Linked DNA regions of Rhinolophus ferrumequinum. The protein of the gene in region 1 interacts with the protein of each later gene in a pairwise test. Links are inferred from orthologs where the notes say so. Each region holds a gene or a part of one and is shown on either strand. Other genes may lie near its edges.

Region 1 (8,120 bases):
TACAATTTTACAGATGAGGAAACTAAAGCACAAAGAGGATAAGCAACTTACCCAAGATCACACCATTAGCAAGTGGGGAAGTCAGTTTCAGAGAAGCAGCTGTGTTTGAATTAGGTCATACTCCTTAAATCCTATGTGGAATGAGATGGAACCTTATTTCACAAATATAGTAAGTCATAAAGGTAAAGGTAAATAAACCCCTAGAAGAGAATTGAAGGGTACAAAGCATTCAAGGAAAAGGACCGCCTGAACAGAAAGCACAAAAATGACTGAAGGAAAGTAAGTGGCTCAGTTTGACTAGATGAAAGAGTTAATTCAAGATATTTGCAGGAGGTAATGTTAAAAAGGGAAGTTAGGGCATATTATGAAGGATCTTCAAGAAAGAACTGATGAGAGAGAAGAGAAAAAGTGTTCGTGATTTAGTGATACTATAAAGGGAACAATATTTCTTCAACCTAAGAATTCCTTGAAGGAAAATAACTATTCTATGAATACCTTGAAAAAAAATAATGCAAAATTTAATTCACAGATAGGCATGGCTTCAAAACTAAGTTATACACCTAGATTTAGATTCTCTTTACCACCATCATCTTCACCACAAAAAAATCCTTAGAGATCCCTGCATTAAGATGTAGCTTTGTTCAGAATAAAGGAAAAGGTGGAATCGGAGGCCATAGCCAAACACTAACTTCAATCTCACAGGCAAATGGAACAGACAACGGAAAAGGTATCCATAAAAGTTTTTTTCACTTTTGGGAATTATTTTAAAAAGAAGAATGTGGGGATGGAGGGAGGATGAAAAGGAAATTTCCTCACTGTCCTTTGCAATGCTCTGTATGTGGGGGGAGTAGAACGGGGTGGGGAGGACAGGGGTGGTGGTAAACCCAGTGCCTTTGTTCTTATTACTTAATGTGAACAAATAATAATTAAGAAAATTATCCAACAAATGTTTATTGTAGGCCTCCTCTGTGTACCAGACATAGTAATAAATGCAGACTTCTCTCCTCTTTCGACATTTTTGGAGATTATTTTACTCAGTGCCTTTTTAGAGGTTATTTTACTCAGTGCCTTTTTAGAGGTTATTTTACTCAGTGCCTTTGCAGATAAACCAGCTGTTCCAGCTAAGAGGTGACCCTATGGCTGCTGGTATGCATTATGATCACAGCATTTTCCCCAAAAGCCAAGGATAAGCCTCTGACACAGCAATCCTGAAATCCAACACTCCTCTCTCTATGTAAAGAACGCTTAATAGGCAGAACTGAGTACAGGGTGGGAATTTGAGCCCCTTTTGGATCATGCAGCCCCTTTTGGATATTTTGACTGATAAGACCATGCAATCCAGCAAAGCAGGCTGGAATTATGCCAAACAGCTCAGATTCCCAGAAAAACTAATGATATTCATCAGTCTAGAAGTAAGGGAGGAGCCAGTATCTTCTCTTTACGAATTATCAAAGCTGACTTAAGTCCTACGGAGACCCTAAGCATTGAAAGGATTATGGTGCCCTCCTCTTCCACACACACAGAATTCAAGATGAGTATAATTAATTTCAATAAATTTCTGATTTTTGTCATGAGGACAACTTCAATAATTTAATTAAATGCCAAATATGAAATTATTTCCAGAAAAAAATTTAGAGATGCCCCTCATACTTTGCGGTATGTCCTTACCTTAGCTTCACCTGTACAATAGCAATTCCATCCTTGTATGCACAACAACGTAATCACCACAGTCAGTCTAGGTACCATCCATCACTATACAATTGACTTTCTTCATTTATTTCTCCTCCCCCCAACCTCCTTCCCCTCTGATAACCACCAAAATACTCTCTGTATCTAGAGGTTTTGTTTTCTTTTTTTATATTCCACATGTAAGTGAAATTATACAGTACTTGTCTGTCTCTGTCTGACTTATTTCACTTAGCATAATACCCTCAAGGTCTATCCATGTTGTTGTAAATCATGGCAAGATTTCCATCTTTTTAGTAGCTGAGTAGTATTCCATTCCTGTGTGTGTGTGTGTGTGTGTGTGTGTGTGTTTGACATCTTTTTCTATCCATTCATTTATTGATAGACACCTAGGTTGTTTCCATATCTTGGCTATTGTAAAGAATGCTGCAATGAACATAGGGATGCACGTTATCTTTTCGAATTAGTGTTTTCATTTTCTTCAGATTAAAAACCCAGAAGTGGAATAACTGAATCATACAGTAGTTCTATTTTTAATTTTTTGAGGAACCTCCATACTGTTTCCCATAGTGGCTGCACCAATTTACAGTCCCACCAACAGTGTACCAGTGTTCTCTTTTCTCCATACCCACTTGTTATTTCCCCCTCTTACTTTACTAGGCACGTGCATAATTTACCTACTGGGTAATTTATCCCTGTATATTATGAACTGATGAAGGCCTGGGGGCTGCGAATCACCCAACTAGCTTAAACTTAGCCAAGGTTATAATTACCTTTCACACCATTTGAGATTTACACTCCCTTCTGCCTGGTGCTCACTCCAGTGCAAACCCAAGTAAAGAGCCTGTAATAGTGCCTTCCTTTTGCACCTCCTCTAACCTCATCTTTTAGTGGTGGTTCCTTAGAGATCCCTTCCACTGTTCAAGGTCTTTCATCACAAATAGTTTGAAAAGCATTGGTTATAACCACTATATCTGTCAATGTTGCATGACAAGAGTATGGAAGAAACTATAAAATAGGAGAGTTCCCAAAAGATCATACCTTGTCGGTCCAAGGGGTCAACAGTCAAGTGAAACACCACAGTGGGCTCTATAACCACTAAGCACTACTGCATACGCCTCACAGTCATGCATATCCCCAATAATCCCCTTAGATAAATCCTTGAATGACATCCTTTTACTAGCAGGCTCCTGCCACAGCACACTAATCCTAAACACAAAATAGGTTTTACATACTTTGCAATTCATATGCAAAGTATATAGTCTTTCTATGCCTGTACACATGTGCATCAGTGTTTTCTGGCTTCAGTTGTAAGATTCTGGAGCATAGATGCTAACACTCCAGTTTTCTCTATAGAGCAGTTTGTGTAGTGCTGTGTGCCCTTTGACACTTGAAAATATTTTCCGATAACATGATGATAATACTGGATCATCACCCAATGGCTAGAAAGAGTAGGATAATTAAGACATACCTATAGCCAATTTTTCTATTATGTTGTCTGCCTTTGGCGAAAAAGAACCTGCTAAATACTCATCCAGCATACGTATGCAATTTTAGTACTGACATAGTTTGCATTTGCAACTTTAATTATTAAAACCCAATTCTAGCAGGGCCTGAGATCATAGGCCTGACTTTCTGCCCCTACCATCTGATCAGTGTGTGGTCCCTTCCCTATACCATTCAAATCTATTGTCTAATCTCTTTGTCAGACTTGATGAAAGCAGAGCCCGTGGGTAACTGCTGCTGACCCTTATACTGAAGCCCTGTGCTAGTTAAAGGCCTCATCTCTACAGTTGTTATGGAAACTGTTCCCTTTCTCTCCCAACAACCTATTCTGGCTTTCTGCCTCCACATGGCACTCTTTTCTGATTGCAGAAGAGGAGGTCTACACCTCTCCATGCCTTTTGCCATATTCGAAACTGCAAATGGTGGGGTGGAGTACATGTAGTAGAACGCTGTCTCACGTATCATATAGGGTGAGGCATTCCCCGCCATCTGATATTCTGCCAGTGCTCTTATTTTTCCCTCTCTGCTACAAAAAAGGATTTTCAAGGCTATGTCCAGTTTTTCTGAGCTATAACTGACATAGTATGCTATATTAGTTTCAGGTTATCAAACCCAAATTGATTACAGAATTTTCTGGCTATTTTGCTACAACAAATGCTCCATGATAGGGACCAGGATTGCCGTGAGGTACTTCACATGCACTGTCCAATCCTCCTCAGGGTGTCCAGAGAGGGAGTGGATCAAAATTTGGCTCACAGGCAGCTTTGCTGAATCTAGTACTGTGCTGCCTTTTACCCTGTACCGTCCCCAAAGTGTAAGGCAAATGGGACCAAGAAAGTGCTGCTGGAGCCCTAGGGTGAAAGCTCTCTGTGTGACACATACATGTACAGAATGATTTGATGGTTAAAAGAACTGGGGTGCAGAGTAGGTGGTGGGCACACGTTGAGGAATGGGCAAACATAGGCTAACAGCACACACCATTTTTACAAGTATGTTCCAAATCAGTCATAAAACATGGCAGCCTCTTTAGTCCTCTTTCCATCCCCTGGTTCTTTGGTTTGGAAGGATCAACCTTTTCTTTGGTTCACACGTTTCCCCTTCGGTTTTGAGAATTCCCCGGGGGAAATAATATCACAGTCTCCCAAGGTTACTCAATTCACTGTCACATTACCTGTAGTTGGGAAAGTCTTTCCTGGGTTTTACTCATATCCCCCTTGCTGCAGTCTGAGCTCATTGCACTCTTGAGTCCTGCACTCAGCAGAGATGGAGACTAGCCAACCACTATCTTCGGAATAACAACTCACCGGGGACTCAGGGCCGGAAGGTCATTCTGTCCCTTCAATACAGCGCAGCCTTCCAGAGCACTCCCAGGGCCTGGGGCAATGAGGACAGGGAAACCGAGGATGGAATCTAAGGCCCTGGCAGGCAGTGACAAAAAAAAAACAAAACTCCAGACAACGATAATACAGACACACCGACACAGATGGAGACACGATTCAAAACGGAGACAGAGGGACAAGATGGCTTCCTCAGTTCGGACGAGGCTGCAGAATTGCCAGACAGTACTCATAGGGGAAACATCCTAACTAGGAGCTTCTTCCGTCTCCGAGGCAATCGACTCATTCTTCCACCCAGTCCCTCAGAATCCTCACCCCTGCCCAAGTCGGAGTGGGAGCTCCCTCTGGAGAACGAGTGGGGGTGAAGGGGGCGACCATCACCACCTCCGCCCCCGGGCTAAGCGAGACTGCATAGTCGAGGTGTCCCTGCCCCGGCCCGGCCCCTGCGGCGCCAGTGCTCCGCCTCCTGACAGGCAGCAGCCAATGAGCGGCTCCTGCCTCCGGCCCTTAAGAACCCAGCGCGCTCTCCCTGCAGCGGACGCGGCCAGCCTAGCACTCCAACGGAGTTTCCATGGAGACCGAGGCTGGGCCCGGGCAGCCTCGCGGCGTTACCATGGAGACAAGTCCCGGGCTGGGCCTCCGAGGCCCTGGCTCACCGCTGTCTCACCACCCGGCGGATCCGCTGTGCGAGACCGGAGCCGCGGTGGCGGCGGCACGCTGGGACCTGCGGAAACACTCTTTGCTCATCGTGATCGGTGATATCGGTACAGAGAGTCAGCTGAGGGCCGTGCGGGCCCACCTTGAACAAGGTGAGCCGCTGTCCTGGCTGTGCTCGGGACATCCTCCATCCCGAGCTTCTCCGCCATCTGCATTTACCTCCCAGAGCTTACGTCTGCATTCTCCATCCCTAGTGTGCACTTGCTGAGATCTACGCGCCCTGTTAATCTGAGTCATCAGTCCATCACCTGCATCTTCCATGTCACGCGTCCATATCATCCCGAGCTCCCAACATCTCGCTTCCCATCCTTTCCGCACACCCCATGGCGCTCCGCAATCTCCCTGAAGCGGGGGAGCTCTGTGCAGCCCCTAGAGCCCCTCTGGTCACACCCTCTGTCCCAGTGTCTCGGGCCAGATGTCCAAAAAGTCCTCATCTTCCCCTGAAGAGTCCTTATCCCTACCTTAGTTTCTTCTTTAGGATCCCTTAACAGGCACAGGGTGCTTTCTGAACGCTGCGGACAAATCTCAAAGCTCTCAGTGTTGGCGGCCAACCTGAGAGAGTGACCTTTGTGGCCAGAAGCTCCTCAGTCCTCACGTCCCTCCCCAATTAATTGCCTGCCAGTGGCGCAGTGCTGCGGAGCCACCTGCGGGTGGGAAGCAAGCCGCGGAGGGGTGAAGGCAAGGAGGGGGGCATAGGAGAGTCTAGAATCCTACTTAGCTGTAAGGACCCTGGAAGGCAACCCCCAGTATCTGGGAATAGGCCCTTGGGTGTCACTTCTATTACGATTGGGTGGCTGCAAGAAAACTCCTACATATAAACTCACTAATAACCAAGTTTAGCCTAAACTCTGCCCTTCTTCTTCTGGCTCGGGCAAAGCCCAAGAAAGGCACAGGATGGGAGATGGACATAGGTACTAACAACCTCTATTAAAGAGATCAGTGAAGCTGATCATGACAGCTGTCCTTATCCCCTCCCTCTCCTTACCCTTCTTGTGAGCTTGGCCGTTGTTCCCTGAAGTCCAATCCTTCTGACCTTATTTAGAGCCCTCTTTGTTTCTTTTTCTCTCACAGGGATTCTCTCCTGGAACATTGACTTATCATCCTTTGACTTGAACCAACAATTGAGACTCTTCATTACGAGGCACCTAGCTCACTTCTCCTCAGAGGTCAAAGGTTAGGACTAGTGTCATTTGTCTCAATCATTTGGGTGAGGGTTGGTCACAGAAGAGATTAGGCTGGGGAGAAGGGAGGGACTCTTCAGGAAAGTCATAAAGCTCCATAGCTATGCCCACATACCCAATGCACTGTGAAGACAGATGGTATGATGGTAGAGAGAGCCCGGAGAATGTAATTTCTAACTGAGAAGAGGGTGGTCTATGGACAGCTGTTGACAAGTACTAAGGAAACAAGGTACTTGTCTTGAGTGATCGATCAATCACTCCCATGCAAAAATCCACTCTTTTTTTGTGATCCCCTTTCTGTGTCCCCCAGCCTCCTTGCTTCCCTTTACAAAGATCCTTGAATCCCCCACTCACCTTTCCAGATCCTTCCTTAGAACTTTTCCTCAGACTGCACAGCCCACTCTCCAGGTTTCAGGGTTTCTGGTCCCTCCTTTGGACCAGCCAACAGATCACCAGAGCAGAGCAGAAATCTGGTGCCAAAGGCTGGTGAGCACTGTCAAATCCAGGGTGGAAGCAGGGACTCCTGGCTTTACTGCTACAAGAGCTAGTCACACTCTGAGATTTGACTCTGAGATCCGAGTTCACAGGATGCAGTTTCCCATTGTGCTGGGTGGGAGAAATGGGTCAGGGATTTGAGTAAATAATATTTTAGGAGCTGTCATTCCATGACAAGTATCTGTGGGGAGACTGAAGAAAGCCTCACATCCCATTGTAGAAGTGCTGGGCATTCTGGTCATGTTGTTGGTGAATGTTGACACACCAATCCATGTGTCAGTGCCTTTATGGAATATGAAATCCATCCAACTGAACAGTTACTGCATCAAAGGACTGAATTCATATCTTATACAGATAATTCCATTATTTAGTATAGTAGATAGTCACCTCCCCTTCTCTTCCCGCTCCTTCTGCTAACTGCCACATCTTCAGTCATTTCCCTGATCACTGGCTCCCGAAGAGAGAAGACAAGTTGAATATGACTAATGCTTCATTATCCTAGGAATATGTGCAGCATTTAAAAAATGTGAGGCTGGCATCTTCTTGATGTGACTGGCTTCTTGTGAAGCTAGCCACTCACTGTTTTGAGACTGGCTTCTGTTAAGAATTACTCATGTCATGACTTCCTCCATTATCACTGATGATTGAAAATCCATAGTTTTACCCCTTATTACTCCTCGGAGCTTTGGTACAAGGGTGGATAAGGGGATGACGGCAGACGAAATTAATGACCACATTGAAGTTGGGGGAGTATCTGATGATGTTAATTCACACTGAATTCTCTAACCTTGTCCTTTTGGCCACAGAGATTTAAGATTAGGCTGCTTTCTGGAATGATGTATGAATGAACAGACTTAAACCAAAATACTTAACCATTCTTCAAATTAAGATCTAGGGATGCTTGGGAAGACGCTTATAGGGAGATGCATAGTTACTCTCAGGGACCTCTCAGAAACAAGCACTGATATATAATAAACACCTGCTAGATCTTTTCAAAGAGTTATGCCATGGTGTCCTCAAGGGGCTTAGGGCAATATACCCAAGATCAGGGCTTACTTTAGCCTATTGAATTTTTTTTTTTTTTTTTTTTTGGTTTGGACATTTTTATGGTGGCCTGACTATCTCCCTGGAGAATAGTGGAGAATTTCCTGGAAAAACCCACAAGGCTCAAGACAGCCACTGCCCCACCCCTGCTGGC
Region 2 (7,738 bases), on another chromosome or scaffold:
ATAGTGAGGTGGGGAACAGTCAGGGAGCCACATGAACTTGCAGAGCTTGCAGAGCTGTCCAATTGAAATATAATGTGAACTACATATATAACTTAAAATGTTCTAGTTGTCACATTAAAGAATATGAATTAATTTGAATTTTATCATCAAATGTATCCAACCTACTAAATCTCATATATTTAAATATTTATCTACTATACCTAAAAATATTGTCAGGTCAACACGGAATTAATATCAAAATTATTAATGAAGTATTTTACATGTTTTTCCATCTAAGTATTCAGATTATTTTATAGTTACAGCACATCTCAATTTGGACACTAAATTTTCCTCTAAAATACTCGATCTATTTAGATTTCATAAGCTTTCCAGTAGGAAAAAGTAGATTCGCTTAACCAAGTTGTTTCAAACCTACATAAAAATTTCCCAATAACTGAATCAAATATCAGTTTTTATTTACTTTTTGGTGGTGCACATCAGTATTCATTTAATTCTCCTCCCCCCAGATTTATTGATATATAATTGACGACATTGTATAAGATTACCACCATACATTAACTAACACCTCTATTATGTCACATAATTACCATTTCTTTTTTGTGGTGAGAACATTTAAGATCTACTTTCTTAGCAACTTTCAAGCATATAATACAATATTATTAATTACAACCACCATACAGTACATTAGATTCTCAGAACTTATTCATCTTACAAATGGAAGTTTATACTTTTTGACTAATATTTCCTCACTTCCCCCACCCGGAAGCTTTTAAGTTATTTAAATTTAATTATAATTACATAACATTAAAAACTTAGTTCTTCAGAGACACCAGCAGCATTTCAAGTGCCCAACAGCCACACATGGCTCGTGGTTACTGGATAGGACAGTGCAGTTTCAGAGCCATCACGACCTGCCCCCTGCCCACTGCCTGTGCCCCTTAGCCTGGCCCTGGGCTGGACAGACAGACGGTCTGATGAGAGTTCATTGGCCACATTCTGAAGTTTGTCTAGCTATGGTGGTTTTCCTGTGAGCCCAGCCTTCTTTGTCTTAAGCCTGGGTCACACTGGGTCACAATCTCAGGGCAGGAGAGGGATATTTTACCTGCTGTTGCTCATTGCTGGAGACCCCAGAAAGCAGCATAACTGCTCAGTTGTGTAACTCATGGCTGAATGGGTCCCAAATTGACCTCATGGGACCGCCTCAGTTTTTCCACCAGAAATAGTATGGCTAGTTCTACAAGAACCTGTCCCTTTTTAAAACTCATTGTATTGAGATGGAAGGTTGACAATTTTCTTAGAGACTTTGGCTACTCCTTAAATTAGAAAAAAAATAAAAAATCAAACGGCTGTCAGGAATAGCTCTTAGTAAATGCTTATTGGTAAATGAATTAGGATTACTTCCACTTATACCAGAATATCCAATAATGGCTTTCTCTTTTTAAATTCTTAATTAACTAACTGACTACTTAATTTAATAATGGATTTCTTAACTATGGCAAAAGAGCAGGTGGTTTTTGTACAATTTCTGTACAATTACAGAAAAATGAAGTCCATTCTTATCTGTACTATTGAGATTCTATACCCTTTATCTCTTTCTTATCATCTCTTTTATAAGTTACTATTTAACTAGGAAATAATTTGTTATTTTAAAGTGTATACATATGAAAAGAGTTATGTGTGTGTATAAACATATATGCGAAGGATTTCGAAAGAATTTTTTAAAACATTCTTTAGGGTTTTACATTCCATGAAAGATCTCAAAATCAAGACAGTCATGAAATGCATGCTCTTTGGCTAGATTAGGTTTATTGTAATCATATAGCATGTGTACTTTTTTAGAGGAACAAAACCTGTAAAGATTGCCACAAGGTGGTGCTAAAATCCAATGAACATTCCAGTCTCTGATCTCTGGGAGGAGTTGGGGGTGATTTACAGATCTGTAGGAGACACCCGACAAAGTAAAGATTCAGTAAATTAAGCTGAAGACTGGAGGGAGATGAACATCCTCCGTTTGTCTGAAGGATAATTTTCCTCTTTCACTGGTGTGGGTATCTGTCATACAATGAATCTATATGTCAATAGTTAATTATTAAAATGATTTGTTCTCATAGACAGTTTTCTCCTTTCAGTGAGAGTATACTGTGAAGAGAAAGGGGAGGCAGGGAGGAGACTGTCTGGCACATCACCTAGTTTGGAAAAGTTTATCCTGTGAGTGGAGCAGTCTTTGAAACAGCCAGTCTCCACTGAGCTTTTATTGGACCAAAAAAAAAAAAAAAAAAATGAATACCACAGAAAGAAGTTGCTGCAGAACATGGATTTTCCTATTTGTTTACTTTGGCATATTTACCAAACGAATATTTTTAGAAATTATTTAGATATTGGGATTTAAGCTTGGAACACCTCATATAATATGTCTGAGAATCAGGAAACGAGTGAATTAAATCCCTCTTCCTGGTTCTTTGTATTTCAGTTTTTTAAAAAATACATGGCACAAACTTTTAATTGTTTAATTTTTAACAATATTTGAAGCTTAAGGACATAGCCAAGGTTCCCAAGCTATATTAAGACCAAGGAAAACAGTATAGTGTTAACTATACAGATATACAAGGTTTTGACTGAAAGAAGGAAAATTCAGATAAGAGTTTTCTAATACATTAACTTAAAAAGGAAAAAGAAAACATTTCCAGATTGGAGCCTTAAACCAAAAAACTTACTTTCTCCTGTGGGACCCACTGTGGAAAAATTATTTACTTGCTGACAGTTCAGTTCCTTAGATCTGAAAACCAGAGGCAAAACAAAACAAAAAAGCTGGGCATTGTATGTTGCTAATCCAGAGTGAAGGTAACACTTTTGGTCCTTTGGATTAGATATTCTCTATAGGATGGGCTCTAGGGGTTAGCGGCACTAATGTCTTATTTGACCTTAGTATAGCTATTGTGTCTATAGAGACCTAGCTCTCAATTTATGAATCCAAGGTTAAAACATCAGGACTCAGTTACAGCTGGTTGCATGGGTTTGGTTGGATGGAGTCTGGAGTTTGAGGTAGGAGACCCCCAGAAAGTTTCAGCTGAGTTCCTGAGCATTTAGGTGAATTTTCCACAGTCATTTACTGATTCCTGCATAGTGGGTCAGACATTGTGCTACATCTTCAAGATGCTGAGATAAGACAGAATCCTGGCCCTCCAACAGCTTCATTCTTAGAGAGGGAGGCAGAAATATGAGGCAATAACCTCATCATGCCGTGGTTGGTCTCTCCTTTGCAGAAAAACCAATAAGCATCCCCCAGCCTCTACAATGGAGATAGCCCAACCTGCTCAAATGGTACTCTATCTAGGCCCTAACCTGAGTTTCAGCTTTTTCCATCAAGTGCAGCTACACTAAGCTATTCATGGTTCTTAGAGTTTATACTATTCTTTCCCACCTCTCTGCTTTTGTTCATGCTGTTCCTCCTTCCTGGGAGGCCCTCCCTACTTCCCCTCCCCACTTCCCACCTCTTCTGTCCTTTGAAATCCGTTGACTTAGATCAGATGTAGGTGTCATCTTCTGCAGGATCAGTGGGATGGATGAATTAAGTCTTGGTGTGTAGCAGGAGGCTAGGGACGTAGCACCTCACCAGACATTAATTTGCTGTGTCCCCCTGCCTTCAAATTTCTCCTCCCACACTCCTCCTCGGGCCTCACCCTCTTCTTGCCCAATGGGGTGTGAGGTGATTAAATTCTATTGTACTGTCTACTTCAGACGACCAGCATCCGAATTAATCATGCAAACCAGGGCCGAGGCTATCTTTTTCTGTGTGGTAACTTCCTTCAAGTGGACGCGAAGTTCTGCAACCAGCCTTGTCCTTCCCTTTTCACTGGTCCTCCTTCCCCTAATTTTCACCTAGAGACTCAAGCTGGGGGCAGGGCAAGGAGTAGGCGGTAGGACTTGGAAGAGCCTCGAGGCTCGGCCCAGGTCCACCCTGCTCACAGTAGTCTCTCTCTTTCACTGTGTCCAAACCTAGGGCTGCTCCAGGGTGAGTACTGGGGCGAGGAGGGTGAGGTGGCAGACTAGACTAGGGAGGGGCCGCTTGTAAAAGAAAAGGAAAAAAAACCTTGGTTGGAAAAAAAACCTTGGTTGGAAACAAACGTGTGTGTGTGTGTGTGTGTATTTAAAAACAAAACCACGTTAAAAGAGGCGCCCCCTCCCTCACAGGTCAGACCACCCGCTGGGAGTTTGCAAGGAAGCGGGGCAATTTTGAGTGGGAGGGAGTCGCCAACGCCCCACAAAGTGCTGCCCCTCTCGGCACCGCTCCCCCAGGCTCTGTGGGCTCCAGGTAGCCAGCTCTGGGGGCTTGGCAAGGCGCGGAAAAGCTGCGAAGAAGAAGGGAACCCTGGTGTCACCAGAGCCCGGCAGCGCCAGCCCGGGCGCAGACTCCCCAATCGCCGCCTCTCCCAGCCCCGCGGCCTGGGCCGTCAATCAAGTTGGTTAGGCTCCGCCCCTGGGCTGCAGTGAACCGCCAATCAGAGCCAAGCTCCGCAGCGATGAGCTCAGTCGGCTCGCTTCCCATTGGACAGCTATATTAAGAAAGTGGCCGAACTCTTTAAATAGCGGGCGCTAGGGCCGCAGCCTGCATCTGCCACCGCAGTCTGGCCGGAGTCCTGTGCTCTCCTGTACTCTTGGAGAGGCCTAGGGAGACCCAGGAGGGAGTTCAGGTCGGGCCGCCGCTCCAGCCACAAGGAGCGTTTGTGCACAAAGGCGCTGACCCCGGGTGTGGGGCGAGAAGAGAGGCCACCGCCCGGGAGCAGCGCGGAGACTCACGGTGCGCCCTATGCCCCCGCGCCCCCACCGCCCCCGCCGCGGCAGCCGGAGCGCACCGAGAGGACGCGCCACCGCGGGGCCTGGGTGCAGCTAGCGACCCTTGCCCCCAGCGCGCAGCCCGAGGTGAGCGGCGAGCGGGACGGCAGCGAGGCGTTCGCGGGCCCCCTCCTGCTGCCCGGGCCCGGCCCGCTCATGGCGGCCATCCGCAAGAAGCTGGTGGTGGTGGGCGATGGCGCCTGCGGCAAGACGTGCCTGCTGATCGTGTTCAGTAAGGACGAATTCCCCGAGGTTTACGTGCCCACCGTCTTCGAGAACTATGTGGCCGACATCGAGGTGGACGGCAAGCAGGTGGAGCTGGCGCTGTGGGATACAGCGGGTCAGGAGGACTACGACCGCCTGCGGCCGCTCTCCTACCCGGACACCGATGTGATCCTCATGTGCTTCTCGGTGGACAGCCCGGATTCGCTGGAGAACATCCCCGAGAAGTGGGTGCCCGAGGTGAAGCACTTCTGCCCTAACGTGCCCATCATTCTAGTGGCCAACAAGAAAGATCTGCGCAGTGACGAGCACGTCCGCACAGAGCTGGCCCGCATGAAGCAGGAACCCGTGCGCACGGATGACGGCCGCGCCATGGCCGTGCGCATCCAAGCCTACGACTACCTCGAGTGCTCCGCCAAGACCAAGGAGGGCGTGCGTGAGGTCTTCGAGACGGCCACGCGCGCCGCGCTACAGAAGCGCTACGGCTCCCAGAACGGCTGCATCAACTGCTGCAAGGTGCTATGAGGGCCGCGCCCGCCCGCCCCTGCCAGCGCGGCCCCCCTCCCGGGCCGGTTCCCTCAATGATCCCACCGGACTGTCTGGTGTCTGCCTTCCCGCCCGGCAGCCGTGGCGTGGAGGCTGTGGCCCTGGCGCCGGGAATCGGCATGGGAGGCACTGGGCACCCCCTTTCCAGTGTCTGTGTGCGTCCAGCTATGTTGCACAGATTCAGGCGCACCGCTGAGTGCCAAGGGTCCCCTGAGCACCCTTGTCTGAAGAGCCAAGCCTCTTTCGAGTGTGTGGCTGTGTGTATCTTCCGACTTCCCCCTTCCCGTACCACTCCGCCCCCGCCTCTGGTCCCTGGAGAGGAGCTTGGCGCCGGGGTCCGGCCGAGCCCCATCATACGTTCGCCCATAACCAGTGAACGCCTGCTATCTCTTGTGTGTAACATAGACCACGGGAACTGCGGGAGGGGAGGGTTGGGGAGGACGGGGTGTTATATAAATATAGATATAATTTTATTTTCGGAGGTAGGATGGTGTTATTTAATGGTGGTGGTGGGTGGAGTGACAGGGCGCTAGAACAGCTCCAGCCCAGCCTGATTCAGGCGCCCATCCAAGCATGAACTGGACTTGGTCGTCTTTCCAACCCCTGGGGAAGACATTTGCAACTGACTTGGGGCTGAGAGGACACAGCTTCCAGACTCACGTCTCCTGCGGGCCAGCCCCAGTGAACACCTCACCAGCCACCAGCCCTGGGCAGCAGGAGGGAGAGTGTGCTGCAGGTTGTTTTTGCCATAAGCGAACTTTGTGCCTGTCCTACAAGTGAAAATTGTTTAGTCCAAGAAACTGATGTTATTTGATTTATTTAAAGGCTAAATTTTGTTGGGTTTTATTTTGAAAGAATTCTTTGCACAATTATTTCATTGTTTGACACTTAATGCACTTGTCATTTGCATAAGACAGTAGCATTCTGACCACACTTGTACGCTGTAACCTCATCTACTTCTGATGTTTTAAAGAAAAGTGATGACTTAAAAAAAAGGAAAAAGAAACCACTAATTTTTGTTTTGTTTTCTTGAAAAAAGTGGCAACACTGTTTAGTTATTTTTTTTGTGCAGGTCTGCACACTATTTTGATAAACAGCAGTAACAAGTATTGGGGCCTACCTAACCCTCCCCCCTCCCTTTTTTTCACAAGACAGTCTCTAAAACTATGTGAAATTTTCTCTGCATCTCTGTACAGAGAATGAACCTGCCCCTAGTCTCCTTCCTCCCCCCTTCCCCACCCAGTGGTACTTCTACTAAATTGTTGTCTTGTTTTTTATTTTTTAAATAAACTGACAAATGACAAAGTGGTGAGCTTATGATGTTTACATAAAAGTTCTATAAGCTGTGTATACAGTTTTTTATGTAAAATATTAAAAGACTATGATGATGACATTTATAAAATGGCTCCTGTGGTTTAATAGTATACAAAAATATCTTAATGAATTTGGGGCAAGAGGCGAATTCAGCTAGGCAAGGTTTTTTTCTAGCCACCAACTCTCTAATAGTGTTTGTTGTAAATGAGGATGAAATTCTTTGGGGGACGTGTGGGGGTTGGGTGGCCATGGGAGACCGGGTTGCTCCTATCCCAGGCCCAGAGGAAGACTATGGGTGGTACTTAGGCACCCAGTATCAAAACTTTTGACCTCATGTGTACTGTCTCTGTGTCCTAAAGACACTTGTGTCTCTTATGGGGCCTTTGCTCCCTATTCTTTGAAAGTTAAAATTGTCATTTGTGCAATTTAAATTTAGATAACATTTTTTCTGTTAATCACCGGTGTGGGGTCACGCTATCTGTCTGGAAGGCTGGTTACTGGGTTCCCTTCAGCTCCTCAAGGGTCAACACTGTACCCCATGAAATTGTAAGTTATCTTTGGGGCTGGAGCTCCTGGGTAAAGGCCGAATCAGGAGTTGATTCTCCTATTGCTGAACTTTACGTAAATGTGTATCTCTGGGGAACCTAGAATGCTTTATTCTAAGTACTGAGAAAGGCCACGTGATGGGTAGAACACGATGCTTTGGAGGGCTGTTATTTAAAGTCGGAGCAGCCACATTTTGAGATTTAATCCTTGATGAGCTCTAATTTCAGACATTTAGCCTGCTGCAGGGGGTCTCAGAACCAGACAGGCAGTTTATACT

What was found.
Region 2: the proteins of MAP1A (region 1) and RHOB interact in a two-hybrid assay, tested with the Homo sapiens proteins (2 studies listed by BioGRID and IntAct). The link is inferred for Rhinolophus ferrumequinum from reciprocal best matches to the Homo sapiens genes MAP1A and RHOB.

What each region holds. Positions count from the first base shown.
Region 1 is NC_046289.1:62,309,925-62,318,044, reverse strand, and holds the start of MAP1A (microtubule-associated protein 1A), read left to right. Parts: upstream 1-5,056; 5' UTR 5,057-5,100; coding exon 5,101-5,338; intron 5,339-5,707; exon of another isoform or gene 5,708-5,841; intron 5,842-6,317; coding exon 6,318-6,419; intron 6,420-8,120. UniProt on the Homo sapiens protein: Structural protein involved in the filamentous cross-bridging between microtubules and other skeletal elements.
Region 2 is NC_046296.1:58,503,623-58,511,360, reverse strand, and holds RHOB (rho-related GTP-binding protein RhoB), read left to right. Parts: upstream 1-4,599; 5' UTR 4,600-4,989; coding exon 4,990-5,580; 3' UTR 5,581-6,998; downstream 6,999-7,738. UniProt on the Homo sapiens protein: Mediates apoptosis in neoplastically transformed cells after DNA damage. Not essential for development but affects cell adhesion and growth factor signaling in transformed cells. Plays a negative role in tumorigenesis as deletion causes tumor formation.